Ovis aries: one gene and its partners. The protein of the gene in region 2 binds, or shares a complex with, the protein of the main gene of each other region. Links are inferred from orthologs where the notes say so. Each region holds a gene or a part of one and is shown on either strand. Other genes may lie near its edges.

What was found. Proteins that work in one complex are often made in the same cells at the same time.
Region 1: KAT2A (region 2) and TAF5 share a complex: the UniProt entries of both Homo sapiens proteins name them as parts of the TFTC-HAT complex. The link is inferred for Ovis aries from reciprocal best matches to the Homo sapiens genes KAT2A and TAF5.
Region 3: KAT2A (region 2) and KAT14 share a complex: the UniProt entries of both Homo sapiens proteins name them as parts of the ADA2A-containing complex. The link is inferred for Ovis aries from reciprocal best matches to the Homo sapiens genes KAT2A and KAT14.
Region 4: KAT2A (region 2) and TADA2A share a complex: the UniProt entries of both Homo sapiens proteins name them as parts of the ADA2A-containing complex. The link is inferred for Ovis aries from reciprocal best matches to the Homo sapiens genes KAT2A and TADA2A.

The regions. Positions count from the first base shown.
Region 1 is NC_056075.1:23,668,273-23,671,683, reverse strand, and holds part of TAF5 (transcription initiation factor TFIID subunit 5), read right to left. Parts: intron 2,945-3,411; coding exon 2,815-2,944; intron 1,601-2,814; coding exon 1,436-1,600; intron 472-1,435; coding exon 294-471; intron 109-293; coding exon 1-108. UniProt on the Homo sapiens protein: The TFIID basal transcription factor complex plays a major role in the initiation of RNA polymerase II (Pol II)-dependent transcription.
Region 2 is NC_056064.1:41,984,303-41,989,470, forward strand, and holds the start of KAT2A (histone acetyltransferase KAT2A), read right to left. Parts: upstream 3,207-5,168; 5' UTR 3,142-3,206; coding exon 2,803-3,141; intron 2,662-2,802; coding exon 2,538-2,661; intron 2,203-2,537; coding exon 2,057-2,202; intron 1,957-2,056; coding exon 1,867-1,956; intron 1,567-1,866; coding exon 1,385-1,566; intron 1,294-1,384; coding exon 1,102-1,293; intron 1-1,101. Other genes in the region: HSPB9 (heat shock protein beta-9), read left to right, coding at 4,606-5,079. UniProt on the Homo sapiens protein: Protein lysine acyltransferase that can act as a acetyltransferase, glutaryltransferase, succinyltransferase or malonyltransferase, depending on the context.
Region 3 is NC_056066.1:37,949,863-37,953,129, reverse strand, and holds part of KAT14 (cysteine-rich protein 2-binding protein), read right to left. Parts: intron 2,286-3,267; coding exon 2,112-2,285; 3' UTR 1-2,111. UniProt on the Homo sapiens protein: Component of the ATAC complex, a complex with histone acetyltransferase activity on histones H3 and H4. May function as a scaffold for the ATAC complex to promote ATAC complex stability. Has also weak histone acetyltransferase activity toward histone H4.
Region 4 is NC_056064.1:13,444,966-13,449,333, forward strand, and holds part of TADA2A (transcriptional adapter 2-alpha), read left to right. Parts: intron 1-1,225; coding exon 1,226-1,383; intron 1,384-2,453; coding exon 2,454-2,542; intron 2,543-3,764; coding exon 3,765-3,837; intron 3,838-4,368. UniProt on the Homo sapiens protein: Component of the ATAC complex, a complex with histone acetyltransferase activity on histones H3 and H4. Required for the function of some acidic activation domains, which activate transcription from a distant site. Binds double-stranded DNA.

The DNA of each region.
Region 1 (3,411 bases), on a different chromosome or scaffold from region 2:
TCCAACCATCAAACCATGTCCAATATCCCAAAGGAGTACTCTGCCATCTGTTGCTCCTGTAGCCAGGAATCTCCCATTGGGAGAAAATGTCAAGGAATGAATTGGTCCCTAAAATAAAGTCATGACAAGAATCAAAAGTAAGGTTAAAAACACCTAGGAAAATGAGACAAAAGAACTATATTAACATAAACTTGAGTGGTGTTGACAGTATCTTTAAAATGTATGTCACTAGTTAATTTTTAAACTATTTTTAATCTTAACCTTGTGTGCTGGAATAATGAAAGTTAAAATACCTTGTGTCCAGTGAATATCCTTACGCAGTTCCCATTCAGGACATCCCAGAGCCGCACAGTTCTGTCTGCAGAGCCCGTAGCAACATAATTAGAATTTGGATGGAATCTGGTACAATTCACATCAGCAAGATGGCCAGCAAATATCCGTAAAGGCTGATAGTGATCTGTAGCCCAGAGCCTTTTTAAAAAATTATTGAACACACAAGGTAATTAGTAGTTAACTCTGAAATGCCAAGTTCTATCCAAAATACAGAAACAACCATGTGAAATATTAGCGTAAGTGGGTCCCCCTCACTAGTTTACCTGAGGGAAAGGAGGACAGAATGACTTAGAGACTAATCTTTTGTGTTTTTTTAAAGCTATGCCATGCAGCTTGCAGGATCTTAGTTCCCCAACCAGGGATTTAACTAGTGCCCTCAGCAGTGAAAGCACCAAGTCCTAACCACTGGACTACCAGGGAATTCCCTAAACATTCTTAAAACAGTTAACATGGTCCAAAAGGTTTTTAATTCTATAATCCTTTAATTCTCTGAATGTACACTCTAACTCCTAGTCTAACTGCTAGAGTATTTTTCCCTCGTTTTGGCTACCACATGGTGGTTTACTCACCAAGTTGTGTCCGACTCTGCAGCCCCATACACTGAAGCCACCAGGCTATTCTGCACGGGATTTCCCAAGCAAGAATAACTAGAGTGGGTTGCCACTTCCTTCTCCAAGGGATCCTCCCAACCCAGGGATCAAACCCGGGTCTCTGGCATTGCAGGCAGATTCTTTACTAATTGAGCCACAAGGGAAGCCCCCAGTGGTGGGGGGGGAGGGGAGCGACCACAAATAATTTCAAACCCAAGCTACCTCATCCTGAACTTTTAAAGATATGACAGGGAAAGGGCTCACAGTGGCCGCAAAAGACAAGGTTTAGTATCCACTTGGGGAAGGGGAGGGCATGGACTCTTGGTGTAGACATGATTGCAGACAGAAATATTTCTGTCCCAAATTAGTTTTCAGATGACCTACCAATGCTGACATTCTCAAAAAGCTGATAATAACAGAAGTGAAAATAAGTTGGCTGGGGTTTGTAATTCCCAACAAGAAACCATTCTGTTCGTTGAACAGGCCCAGTCCTAAGCTCATAATGTTCTTACCGAGCTACTCTGTCATGGCCCCCTGATACAAAATAATATCCATATGGAGAAAACTGTGTGTCCCACACTGGATAGTTGTGTCCTTTATATCCCACCAAGCAAGTAAATGTTTGAAGACTCCACAATCTAACAGTTCCATCCTCTGAAGAGGAGAGCAGGTAGTTCCTGAGAAAAGAGAAGGTAACGTATTTGATTCCTAGAATAACTTAGTTACCTGTCCAGTTTCTCTGTATGTTTGTATATGTTAAATATAGGTAACTGACTACTACATCTCAGTTTTAATTTATGCCTGAAATTCACAGTAGATAACAAGAGTTGAAAGTACTAATGTTGGCCATGACACTACATCCACTGAGCACCTACTGAATAAGCTTAGGTTTTTTTAAAAACAGTATCTATTAAGAAAATCACAGTTCTTTGGAAAAAAACAAAACAAGAGGTAATGACAAAAAGTATGGTCAAATCAGGTCACCTGAAAAAGGCTTCTACTCTAAGTTTCGTAAAGATGAAAATCTTTATGAACGATTTTGGACTGAAAGCAATAAGACATAGATGGTATTACAAAACAAAAAAATACCCTCCCCATATTGCTATAGAATATTAAGAGATCATGAAAAATAAACATTTTCATGGGTTTCTAATTCCCTTATCAGTATTAGTTCTTTTGATTATACAAAGATAAATCTTCAGTTGATAGGTAATATGCCTTTAATAGCAGGAATCTGTTGTGAATTTGGAGATGACAGAAGACTGCTGCTGCTGCTGCTGAATTGTTTCAGTCATGTCCGACTCTGCGACCCCACAGATGGCAGTCCACCAGGCTCCCCCGTCCCTGGGATTCTCCAGGCAAGAACACTGGAGTGGGTTGCCATTTCCTTCAATGCATGAAAGTGAAAAGTGAAAGTGAAGTCGCTCAGTTGTGTCCAACTCTTAGCGACTCCATGGACTGCAGCCTACCAGGCTCCTCAGTCCATGGGATTTTCCAGGCAAGAGTACTGGAGTGGGGTGCCGTTGCCTTCTCTGCAGAAGACAGCAGTAGCCACCAAACACATAGCAGGAACCCAAAGAAGCAATCCTCAACCCCTATAGGAGTTACACAAAACTAAAGCTAATTTTTATAACCAGCAAACCCTGAAGTTATGGATCCTGATTTTGTAAATTTAGCTACTATACACCAGTACCCCAAGATGAATTAGCAGAGGGCAAGATTCTAAAAGATAATGAATGATAGGCAACCATGGGATTTTTCTTATTTTCCCCAACATTTGCATAATGTTTCTAGTAGTTAACTTTCACATAACACACATATATATTTCATATAACTTTCATTTAATCTCAATTAATATAGCAATATTTAATTCTTATAGTTTGTATTTTACCTATCTGGACTGAAGCTGGCTCCATAGACGGGACCACTGTGACCATACAAGATCTTCAGCTCACTTGCTGTTTTCTCATCCATGATTCTTTCTAAGACATCATCAGATTCTTTATCTATCAGGCTAAGATCTAAAATGATCCAGAAATATTACTTTTAAAAAATACATTTATTAAAACAATTTAAGGCAATTATTTAATATATCAGAGTTTAGGAGAAGAACTAACATTTGAACTGTTCCTCCTACTTACCAATCACTATGCTAATGCCTTTAAATTAGGTGCTATCATTTCAGGGTACAAGAGAAGAAAGTGAGGTTCAGAACACTTAATAACATGCCAAAGTGCACACAGCTACTTAGCCTTGGAACTAGGGCTGAAACTCAATTTATCCACTAGATCACAATGTTTTATAAAATAAAACTACAGAGATATTAAAATAAATTATTGAGCATGTGTTATCTTGTTTAAGCAATACAACTAGCAAGAAACTTTAAAATGTAACCCTGATCTTAGTTCATTTTAGCCATTTTTATGGCTAAAACAGAAAAGTACTCTCCCAGTATTTAAGACTCTTTTTTTTTTAATTTACAAACAAA
Region 2 (5,168 bases):
GTGTGTGTGGGGGGGGTGTGTGATGTGGGGGGTGTGGGGTGTGTATGTGTGGTGTGGGTGTGTGTGTGAGGTGTGTGTGTATGTGGGTGTGGTGTGGGGGTGTATGTGTGGTGTGGTGTGTATGTGGGGGTGTATGTGTGGGGTGGGGGTGTGTGTGGTGTGTGGTGGGTGTGGTGTGGTGTGGTGTGTGTGTGTGGTGGGTATGTGTGTATGTGGGTGTGGTGTGGGTGTGTGTGTGTGGTGTGGTGTGTATGTGGGGGGTGTATGTGTGGGGTGGGGGTGTGTGTGGGGTGGTGTGGTGTGTGTGTGGGGTGGGTATGTGTGTGTGGTGTGGTGTATATGGGGTGTGTGTCTGGTATGGTGTGTATGTGGGGTGGGTATGTGTGGGGTGGGTATGTATGTGTGGTGTGGTGTGTATGTGTGTGATGTGATGTGTGTGTGTATGTGGGTTGTGTGTGTTGCTCCATCGAGTCCGACGCTGTGCAACCCCATACACTGTAGCCTGCCAGGCTTCTCTGTTCGTGGAATTTTCCAGGCAGGAATACTGGAGTGGGTTGCCATGCCCTCCTCCAGGGAATCTTCCTGACCCAGGGATCGAAACCCATCTCTTATATCTCCTGCACTGGCAGGTGGATTCTTTACCACTGCACCACTTGGAAATCTGTGGATACCTATGAACCACGTTTAAAATGAAAAGACAGTGTGGCAAAACAGAGAAAAATCTTACAGAAGGACTAGAACAGGGGTGGAAATTGGCTTCTCTTCAAGTGTAAGCTCTGTACTCTTGGAATGCTGTGGTGAGACGGATTCTGAGCTATGTCCATGCCCCACGGGAAACAGGCAGTCATGTCTACCAGGTGGGTGGGCAGGGGCAGCACTAGCACTCAGGCCATATACCTGCCATCCCACTAGTATACAGACAGGCAAAGAGCTAGTGAATTACACTTGGGCCTTGGGCAAGCCTCCCAGGTAGAGGTCCAGATCCCAGAAGGTTCATGGAGGGAGAAGAGGGACCAATCCAGGAAGCCTTCCTGGAAAAAGGGGACAAGAGGGAGGATGTGAGCGTGGTACAAGGTCCTGATGGGCCAGAACGAGCCTTACTTGGGGAAGTGGGTGAGGATGAGGGTCCTCTTCTCGGGCACCAGCTTGTCCTTCTCTACTCGGAACTTCTCTAGCAGCTGTCGCCGGGTAACCGTGAAGATGGAGCGGAGAAGGCTGCGCCCGAAGACGTGAGTGGTCTCATACCGGGGGAGGCTATCGCAGCTCTGGGGCACGTGGCAGTAGCAGAGCCATCTGCAAGAGCAGGAGGTGGTAAGGGAGAGCAGAAACCAAGTTCAGGCTGAGCCTACAAGCCTCCCCCCATGCTATCCCTGGCTGGACCTACCTGGTGTAATTGACCTTGTAGGTAGCCACATCCTCGGCCTGAGACCTCTGCCGAAATTGGGCAGGTGTCTCAAGCTTCCAGTAGTTAAGGCAGAGCAGGAACATCTTTGAGAGCTCGAACATCGTCTGCCGCTCCCGGGGAGCCAGGTGACTAAACTTGTACTGCACAAAGTTTAGCACGCCCTGGGCAGGGAGGGGAAGGGAAAAAATAGGAGAAGAGGTGTGAGCAGCTAGCATGGCCTTCTTATCCAAAAGTAAGGTGCTTCCTGAGGGCAGGGGGCTCTCTCGGGCTTTCACTCTCACTTTGAGCAGGAGAGATTATACCGCTTCCCACCTAGTATACCCACCCTGAGATTAGCACAAAGCAATCTCCTTTCTCCTAACCTCTCCCCTGTTCTCAGGGCAGGTGGGGGGCGGCAGATAACACAGGCTCCCTGCTCCTCCAAGATGCCCTCAATCCTCTTACCACCTTCCTCATCCCACCTGCTCAATATTAGGCTTCTCAAATGGGGGGCTGCCCAGGGACCCCTCCACCACAGGCCGGGTCATCTGCAGGATGCATTTCCGCAGGAGCTGCAGGAAGAGGGAGGGGTAGAGATCAGTGGAGCACAGAGCTGCAGACCTTCCCAGCCTCCCTTTTGCCCACTCACACTCTCATTTGAAGGAAGCTCACCTTGAAGAGGTAGAAATAGACCTGCTTGGTGTCCGTGTCCTCCTCCTTATGAACAGACATGAACAGATTCTCCACGTCCACCACCATCCCCAGCAGCCGGTTAATCTCATCCTCCGACACGTTCTCCAGGTGGGACACGTGGTCAGCTGTAAGAATAAGTGGTAGTTGGGGAAAACTGACAGAAAAAAATCAACAGGACTTCCTCCTCCTCATTATTGCCAGCCAAGACACATCCTGAGTCCCTCTGACCAGTGTGACCAGGCAATGAGATTGACTGCTCCTATGTCAGCCCTGGGGGGCCTCTTGTCTCTTTTGGTGGGAGGTTTCCTTTCTGCTTCCTTGGGGCATACACACTCCCAGCCCAATTCCTCCTTAGGAGGCATCTTCTGTCTTTCAGAGATGAAACTGAGTGGTCCTGTCCAAGCAGGACCCAGCACTTCCACCTCCCCAACCCCAGTTCCACGGGTACTATCTGCCTTACCCAAAGGGTGCTCACAGCTGCGGCACAGCTCGCTCAGGTTCGCCGCTGGCTGCTGCAGATCCATGCGGGGTGCAGTGGGGGGCTTGGGGTTTTTCCAGCCATTACACTTGCAGGTTTCATTGGCCTGGAAGCAGAAGTATCAGTCAATAAGCGTGTAACCCGGGGAAGAGTAGCCGCTCCCCTGTCACAGCTTTGCCCGGATTCCCACCCAAGCCCTAGGATGCCCCAAGCCCCGCCCCCTGTTACCCCCAGGCCCCGCCCCCACCTTGCAAGCCGAGAAGACCCCTAGCTTCTCAAGCTTCTTGGCGCGCGGCAGCCCCCGGACTTGCGCCTTCCTTTGGCTGGCGCGCTGCTGCTGGCTCAGGCCAGGTCGAGCCGGATCACCCCCGCTCCCGGTACCCCCACTTCCTACCCCGGGCCCCCCAGTCCCTGTGCTCCCGGCTGGGGCTGTAGCTGGGGCAGGGGCTGGTGCCGGAGTGGGAGCCGGAGTGGGGGCCGAAGCTGGGCTGAGGGTAGGAGTCGGAGTTGGGGCAGGGGCTGGGGACTGAAGCGGACGGGGCTGCGCGGCAGGGGCCGGGGTAGAGGCCTGGGAAGGTTCCGCCATGGCCTCCCCAGAAGCGGAGCGCGGCGCAGCGCGGCGCTCCCAGCCCTAGGGCCGCATGGGCAACCGGCATTCAATGCGCAGGCGTCGCTGCCCCAGAGTATGATGGGAGTTGTAGTCTTTCACGATTAGTTTCGTCGCCTCCAGGTTCCAGACTTTTCTGTCCTGTCCCTCGATCCCGGACAGCCAAATGAGGCTCGAGCCAGCACCCCAGATTGACTCCTCCTCACTTGTAATCCTTTTAGAAGGCTTCCGAGGTAGTCAAGATTACTGCCTTTTGAGGGCAAGGAGAAGCACCCCAGAAAACAGGCTTCTGTTTGGGGAATCACCTCTCAAGCCATAAAGGTGGAAATCCAGGCCTGGGGCCAGAAGTGTAGTGGTTTCATGCCCACCTCCCTCCTCCCCTCACTCTGCCCCTATCCCCCACGTTTCTGGACACAGAATTGTAGCTAGTTCAGTTCAATTCAGTTGCTCAGTCGTGTCAGACTCTTTGCGACTAGGGTGGTGATTAAATAACAATAGTTCTATTTCTTGACCTGTTAAGTGGTTACATGGTTGTGCTTTGTGCGCTTTTCTCTGTGTTAACTTATACTTCAACAAAAAGAGGTTTATTATTAAAAGCACTGAGCGTCAGAGTAATGGCCAGGGTCAGGAAAAAGGCTCCTGAGGTGGGGATGAGGGAGCATGGGACGTGCTATACACCCACACCGTGGGCACCTCCCAGTCAGGGCCCACGTCTTCATCTTTGTGGTCCCAGAGCCCAGCTCTGAGCCTGCCGCGATAGGCCAAGGGTAGGATGAATGAAGGAAACCAGAAAGACGCGTTCATCTTCTAGTACAGGTTCATATGTGGTCAGAGAACTGTAGGATATTACAAGAACCAATGACCCCGTGGTCACACTGATGGCTCTGTTCGGGGGCAATCCTCCTTGCCCCAAGGCCTGATTCGCAGAAGAGCAAGAATCTCATGGCTCAATCTCATCTTCACTCCATGCTAGTGACCGCTGCAGGGTCGGGCTCAAGCACTGCCAACCTCTTTTGTTGGGTCACAGCCCTGGCCGCCCGGCCCTGTGATGGAGGTAGGACAGAGCCCTGACCAAAAAAGGAGCAGGATCTGGGATAAAAGCAGCAGCAAGAGGCTACAGAGCAGCTGCCAACCTGACCCGTGGAGGTAGGACATGCAGTTCAGTTCAGTTCAGTTCAGTCGCTCAGTCGTGTCCTACTCTTTACGACCCCATGAATCGCAGCACGCCAGGCCTCCCTGTCCATCACCAACTCCCGGAGCAGAGCTGACCTCAAACTCAGCGGAACCGAACCTCTCTGGAAGCCAAGGGAGCGCCCTGCTCAGAGCTGCTCAGCGCAGCGCGCAGCGCTAGTGTAACGACGCGGGGCCACGAGGCCCCGCCCCCCCAGCTCCGACAGGCCGCTAAGTTCTGAGCCTCGAGCCCAACAGCAGTTGCTCACTCGGATGCAGCGGGTCGGTGGCAGTCTCCCTAGCGGGAGCCAGTCGGCCTCCCGATGTCCCAGCGTGGCCTTTATTGAACAGAACCAGGTGGCCACTCTACCGGTGCAGCGGCTCACGGAGGATGTGGCAGCTGTGCGGGACAACGTCCACCCGGAGGATGGCTTCCAGATGAAACTGTATGCCCATGGCTTCACCCCCGAGGAGCTGTTGGTTCAGGTGAACAGCGGATGCCTGGTGGTGACTGGCCAGCGACAACTGGAGGGCTGCAACCCGGATGGGACCGGCTTCCGCGTGGCGCAGAAGGTGCACCAGCAAATGTCACTACCACCGGACCTGGATCCCGCTGCCATGACTTGCTGCCTGACCCCCTCCGGCCAGCTGTGTGTCCGTGGCCAGTGCCGGGCACTGCCTCCCTCTGAGGCTCAAACAGGACCCGCCTCGAGATTCAGAAGCCGTGGCTCTAAGAAACTAGCCTGACCCAGTAAACAACCACCGTAGTGAGCAACAGCTTCAGTGTCCGTGGTCTTTTCTTGGGGCTGGGATCAGAGGTGTAAGTTGAACAAAGG
Region 3 (3,267 bases), on a different chromosome or scaffold from region 2:
CCATCCAACCATCTCATCCTCAGTTGTCCCCTTCTCCTCCCACAGTAGTATATATAATGGTCATCTGAGTTAAAATTCACCCATTCCAGTCCATTTTAGTTTGTTAATTCCTAAAATATTGATGTTCACTCTTGCCATCTTCTGCTTGACGACTACTAATTTACCTTGATTCAAGGACCTAACATTCCAGGTTCATATGCAATACGGCTCTTTACAGCATCAGACTTTACTTCCATCACCAGTCACATCCACAATTGGGTGTTATTTTTGCTTTGGCTCTGTCTTTTCATTCTTTCTGGAGTTAGTTCTCCACCGATCTCCAGCAGCATATTGGGCACCTACCAACTTGGGGAGTTCATCTTTCAGTGTCCTTCCTATCTTTGTGCCTTTTCATGCTGTTCATGGAGTTCTCAAGGCAAGAATACGGTTTGCCATTCCCTTCTCCAGTGGACTGCGTTTTGTCAGAACTCTCCACCATGATCCATCTGTCTTGGGTGGCCCTACACAGCATGGCTCAGTTTCAATGAGTCAGATAAGGCTGTGGTCCATGTGATCAGTTTGATTAGTTTTCTGAGATTGTGGTTTTCATTCTGTCTGCCCTCTGATGGATAAGGATAATACATTTATGGAAGATTCCTGATGGGAGAGACTGACTGAGGGGTCACTTAAGCATTAAAACGGATACACTCAGAGAGTAGAATATAACACATCTGTACTGTTAAAAACCTATACCTTAAGGCCAAGTGCACATCAGGTGATAGCTGGCCCCTCCCAGTCTGCTGGGGGGTCTCTGGAAGGCCAGGGTGGTGCTGACTCTCTGAAAGGGAAGAGGGTGAGAAGAGCCCAGAAGACCCCTTTTATATTTTTTTAATTGAAGGATAACTGCTCTACAGAATTTTATTGTTTTCTGTCAACCCTCAACATGAATCAGCCATAGGTATACATATGTCCCCTCCCTCTTGAACCTCCCTCCAGAAGACTCTCTTCTCGAAGGCTCATTGTTGCCCTGGGGAACCTGGTATCTGAGTGACCCCGTATATCCAGCCTGGGTCTTGTGGGGGAGGGGAAAAGAGCCTGCGGAGCCCTGGAGCCCATCCCAGTTATCAGAGACATGTGACAGGACAGTCTCAGACTTTTCCCTTGGGGGAGACACACACATTTCCCTTGAATGAAGGGATTCCAGCTCCCTCTAAGCACAGACTCCAGAACAGAGGTCCTGGTGTACAAGGATCACAGATGCAAAATTTTACATATGCAGAGCTTTCCTTGCATTCTCAAACGGAATCGTGTCCCACCCCCACCCCGCCAACCACCCACAAAATAAAAACTACTGCTCTTAAGAGAGCTGGAGAGCAAACTGGCTAGACTGGCCACAGGTTGTCACAAAAAGATATTTTATTTGAGAACATCTGATACTGTGGGAAGCATTTCTACTAAATCCAAAAGCACCTGACTGATGGTCCACTTCCACTCTCCACAAGCCAGCCAACAGCCTCGGCAGGCAGACGCAAGGTGTGTCTGTCCACGGCTGACCCCTCCACCACCGCACACCTTCGTCAGGGGCACAATCAAACAGGAGGCTGCCCAGCTCCTCCAGCCCCAAACTGACCTTACTTGACAGGACAGGAGAACAGCTCTCGCCTCCCAGGCCAGGGCCCCAGCCGGACATGCTCACAGGAGAAAGGTCAGGTGACGTCTCACACAAGACACTGTAACCAAAGTCAGCGCATGCCCCGCTCTGGGGACAGCACAGCCGGGTTGGGACAGGCTGAGTCAGCATGTGGTCGTCACCAGGACGGCACAGGGCCTAGTGGACATGGCAAGGATCTTGGACTACAATCACCCTGCTCACTTTAAATGGGACAGACCTTCTCTCCTCAGGAACATCAGCTCAGGCCTTTCTGGCTCAACGCGCTTTCGGCTGAAGGTCGGCACACCTGGCAGTCTTGGCTGACCCGCACTCACGTCAGCCCTCTCCTCCAAGCGCGTGTGTCCCGTGAGGAGCCACGCTCACGTCAGCCCTCTCCTCCAAGTGTGTGCCCTGGGAGGAGCCGCGCTCACGTCAGCCCTCTCCTCCAAGCGCGTGTGTCCCGTGAGGAGCCGCGCTCACGTCAGCGTCGCAGACGCAGAAAGAACGCGTGCTTACACTCCGTGCTCTCCAGGGGGTAATACTTGTCATAAAAGTCTAAGACGTACTCTTCCGTCTTGAACCCGAACTTCTGGTAGAGCAGCATGGCAGGGTTGCTGGCGGAGACGTGCAGGGTCACGTCCTTGCCCATGCAGGTCTGCAAGAGTGGAGAAGCACACAGTGAGAACGAGAGGGCCTCGGGGAAAAGGAGTGGGTGGAGAGAGTCCCTGACTTTAAGGCAGTCAGGTACAGAGGCTGGAAGAGTCCGGCCTGAGGCTGGGGTACGGGACCACCAGCCAGCGCCTGTGGGGGAACCCAAGAACCCTCGCTGAAACGTTCCAGACTGAGGTGGTGGACGGTAAGCGGATTGAATGTTTTTCCCCAGTTTTTAATGAAACTTACTCAGTAATTCCCACATGTTGGTGTCTGTCCACCTTTGATGAGGCCTCTTAGTATAGGAAGCCTTAAGGACCCTGGTTTGTAAAACCTCCAGTTTTTTCTCTCTGGAGCAAAGAGCCACTGGGGATATTTCACTGCCAACTGTTTTATAATTCAGTTACATTTAAGTATATCCAGCGTAACAATACCAAACCCTATGACAACCTTGAAAAAACAAGGGACAAGATCAGACGTTCTGTTTTTAAAAACTAGATGTCATCCTGCAAGACAATCATAAATGCTCCCACCCTGGACCTACTAGGAAAGATGTCAAGTTATGTGACCAAGTATGAAACCTCAAGACTTCTGTTTAATTATACAAGCTGGGTATCCCCTAGGGACATTCTGAATCCCAAAGACCCCCTCAGCACTCCCAGACTTCTCAGAACTGAGGTTTCTTCATGTACCACCAGCCTTGTCCCATGGGGAAAAAGAGGGGGGTCTGTTCTACTGCAGCTAGGCAGGTTCTCAGATTCTTTAATTAACAACACAGAAGAGAGCAACGGAAGTTACATAAACTCAGAACTGGCTCTTTAATGAGGAGGTGCTGAGACTGTGGACTTCATGAGTCCTGGAGGTTTTACAACCCCAGGGTCCTTAAGGCTTCCTATACTAAGAGGCCTCATCAAAGGTGGACAGATGCCAACATGTGAGAATTATTGAGCAAGTTTCATTAAAAACTGGGAAAAAACATTCACCAT
Region 4 (4,368 bases), about 29 Mb from region 2:
AAAAATGACTTCTTATGACCACATAGTTTATTAATGTTACCAGAGGACCCTTAAATAGCTCTTCCTTGTCCTGACTTCCTAGAGTATATCCTCTGTCAGATGTTGATAAAATATACTATGCTGCCTCCCTTATATCCAGGGCCTTGAAGAAACAGATTTGAATTCTATTCATATTTTGCTTATATTTATCAAGCATCATAAAATTTTGTTTACTATAGGAATACCGAAAATAGAAAAAAGTGATCATTTTCTTGCTAGGCTTCTTTGGCCTAGTTTTTCATTTTTTGTCTAAAAGAGGCTATTCCTCTTTGTACCCCTTCCTTAGCAAAGACCATCATTTGTCTCTCCGCTGTGGGTAAGGCACTAAGCTTGGTGGTGAGGATGCTGGAGCCAAGAATTATGACATGTATCCTGTCTCCAGGAAGCTTGTAGTCTAGTAGGGGAATCAGCATAAATGTACAGTTGGTTGAAGTACATAAATCAGAGCATAGTGATGCCTCAGGAGGCAAGTGAAGTGGAGGCACGTGCTTTAGGAGGCACAATACAAGTGAAGTGTCGTGGAAGAGAGAGGTTGCGAGGGGACTTTGAGAGATTTCACCTCGACTTCTGCATCATCTGGGCCAGGAGTCAGGGTTCTTTAGTACAAATTAAGTGGCTTTGACACTTCCGTGTTTTGTGTTCTCAAGCAAGTTTGTTAACTTCTTTGGGCCTCATTTTTTTCATCTGTGAAACTGAGATAGTAAATACACTACACAGTTAATACTAGCATTGATTGATTGTACATATTTCCAGCTTAGAGCTTGGTCTGTCATGAGAGCTCTAGTAAAGAAATGTTTGTTCACATGAAGTGTTTTGTAAACTATAAAATATGCAAATATAAATGTTCTGGCTTATTATTAATTATAGCAATTCTTTTGATAGAGCCTAGCTCACAGGGAAATTCACAGATTTTCTAATAATCTTCCTTATTTTGTTGAAAAGAAAAGGACTTTTTTAGATATTGGCACCTCTATCATGGAATAGCAGGATTTGAAACATCGGATTATACCAATGCTATGTTTATATTTGTCTCACTGTTCTGCCAGTAGCTGCATGATATCAGTTTGGGGGTATCAAATTCCACACATTGTATCAGTGGGGCTTAAAATATGGAAAAAACAAACCATACTTTGACCATTATGTATAATGAAAACTCTGCTTCCTTTTCTCACTTTCCACACTCTAGGCAGGATGTAGCCAATCAGATGTGCACCAAGACCAAGGAGGAGTGTGAGAAGCACTATATGAAGCATTTCATCAATAACCCTCTGTTTGCATCTACCCTGCTGAACCTGAAGCAAGCAGAGGAGGCAAAAACTGCTGATACAGCCATTCCATTTCACTGTAAGTACCTCCCTGTATCAGTAAGACAGTCTAGTGTGGAAATCATTATAATTAACCATCCCAGTATTAAGCCCAAGAAGCAATTTGTTATTTTCATTCACTTGGTTGTGGCAATTATAGCAAACTTATTTTTTTTTTCAATCTCATGTGACTTAGGGACTCATGGGTCTAACAAAACATAACCAAACCCATGATGAATTATAAGTGGACATCCTTTCTGAATGACTCCCAGGGCACAAATAATGAGATATGATTATTTTTCTTTCCCCTGCCTATTTCCTCATACTTTCTGGAGACAGTTTCGTAGCTGACTAACTCAAAACCTGGGGCTATCTCCTGTTTGGATAGCCCTTCGGATGTTAGCGCTTTGTTCTCAAATGGTTTAGACCATTTCTTCCTCATGGCAATGCAGTGAGACAGAAAGAGCAAGTGTTTTGGTTTTGCACACAAGGAACCTGAAATTCAGAAAGGTTAAATAATTTGTGCAAGATCACAGGACTAGTGACTCAATTCCAGCTCACTCCAAATCCAGTGGTGTTTTTGCCTATCAGTTGGATGGGATTTATAAATTGATACCTGAGAAGGGAGCTGAAGCAGACAGAGTAAATACTTAAGTTCTATAATGCTACAGAAAAGATCTTTGATTTTCTTTTATATTAGGGAAGTAAAAAGCAGAGGGAATTTTCCATATTTACTTAGAGGGTTCCCTAAATCTTAGTTTCTTTCTTTCTTTTTTTTTTTTTTTTTTCTTTTCCCTGCCCCTTGTAGCATGTGGGGTCTTAGTTCCCCAACCAGGAATCGAACCCATGTCCCTTGCAGAGGAAGTGCAGTCTTAACCACTAGACCACCAGGGAAGTCCCCTTAATTTCTTTATTAAGAAGTCAGTTTGTTTCCATAATACTTTACTTTTTTACTTTCCTTTATAAAAATCTTTTGAATTTTATTTATTCTCTCAGACACTATCTTTCTCCAAATAAAAATATTTCAGAATCTAAATGAGAACTTTTTTTGTGTTATTTTTTATGCCAGTATTTTATTAAGGTACTAAGAAAAACTCGAAATTCTTTCAGCTGCAGATGACCCTCCCCGACCTACCTTTGACTCCTTGCTTTCTCGGGACATGGCAGGATACATGCCAGCTCGAGCAGATTTCATTGAGGTAGGAGAAACTTGTTTTTGTTTCGGATGAGGCCATATCACTTACCTGTAGGTTTCATACCACTAAAAAGCTTTTCAAAACACTGTAATTTGTAGGGCCTTAGGCAGTCTCATTTTCTCTGAGTGCCTTTTCTCATTTGTAAACTTTTTTTTTTTTGGAAAGGTAGAAGTTCTTCAGACCAAGAACTTATTTCTTTACCACTAGTGCTACCTGGGAAGGCCCCTTAAGAACTTATTTCTTAAGTCCCATTTCCTTAGTAAGTATAGGGTTTCTGTAGTCTGATTCTCATTCCATACCTAGAGGGTTCCAAGGTTGTATTATGTCAGGGGGGTGGGAAACTTTTTCTATTAAGGTCCTGATAGTAAATATTTTAAATTTTATAGACCATAAAGTCTCTGTTGGAACTAAACTTTGCCATAATTGTGCAGAAAGCAGCATAGATAATAGTAAACAAATGAGCATGCTGGTGCACCAGTAAAACTTTATTTACAAAAATAGGCAGTGGGCTAAATTTGGTCTGTAGGCTGTAGTTTGCTGTCTTCTGTATTATATTCACAAGTGTATGAAGAATGATGAATGGGTGGAAAAGCTACCTGTTCTTGCAGCCATAAAGCCATGTGAATGCAGTCACATGTCTCTTGATTTACCACCTCATCCACAATTACAGCACTCCTGGAGGTAATTAAAGTTTAGCAAACTACAAACAGTTTTGCTGGCCACACCCAGGTCAGCATTTTGTTCTTGGCAGCTGCTGTTGTAGAGCTCCCTCGTAGACACTACCCCTGCGTATTGTACTCACTGAACAGAATATGAACAAATCTACCCACTGAGCTGTATAACCAATATTCTGGAATAAATAGAGCCCTCAGGTGGTGGTAGAAAGGTAGATGAATTAATGCACACAATTTTCTTACCTAAATACTTGAAGGACTAGTCAGAGTGAGATTTTCTTGATTTACATTTTATGAACAGACTACTTTTAGAACCAAATATTTATTCCTGGACTCATAGCGTTCTCATTTTTTTGCTGTCAGTATTGCCTGAAAGCCTCTCAGATTTTTCCCGTGATTTATTACTTATGGCAGTTATCCTGGCCTTGTACCCCATTCAGTACTTTTTAACAAGTGTTTGTATATTTGCTGTTTGCTTTTAATGCATGACTCCTATAAAGGCATTACTCAAAGCTGATGGATCTGAGGTGGGAATTTTTTTCCCCAAACAGGAGTTTGACAATTATGCGGAGTGGGACTTGAGAGATATTGATTTTGTCGAAGATGACTCGGACATTCTACACGGTAACATTTTATTTCAATAAGTGTTTCTATTGATTGCAACCTGTAATGAGACAGTGCTGGCTGCTAGGAATGTAAGAATGAATAAGATAGTCTCCTGCCCCTTATGGGACTGAAAGTATAGTGGTTAAGATGCTGAACATATCCTGTTGCCGGGATTTGACCATAATGAGAAGATCATTTGTGATGATGGTGAGAATGTTGATCATATAATGGTAGTTGGGAATATCCCATCTCTTGGACTATGTGAGCTTTCTTTTGAGACAAGCCTATGCTGAGGTAATTGTTTAAATGGTCCTCACTGCCTCCTTAAAAGAAAAGGAATCAGAGTGAAAACCTGGGACTTCAACAGCAACTACTGATACTAAATGTTCATTGTAATTTGTTACCCCAGATTTCTCATAGCAGGGGAAAAGAATGGAAGTTCAAGAGTTTTTAGACCAAGACTGAAAATTTCTTCTTTCTCAGAACTGTTGGATTTTTAGCACTTCTGAATTCTTAAGATTAGCCTGCTGTTGGTCTTTTGTTATAAGT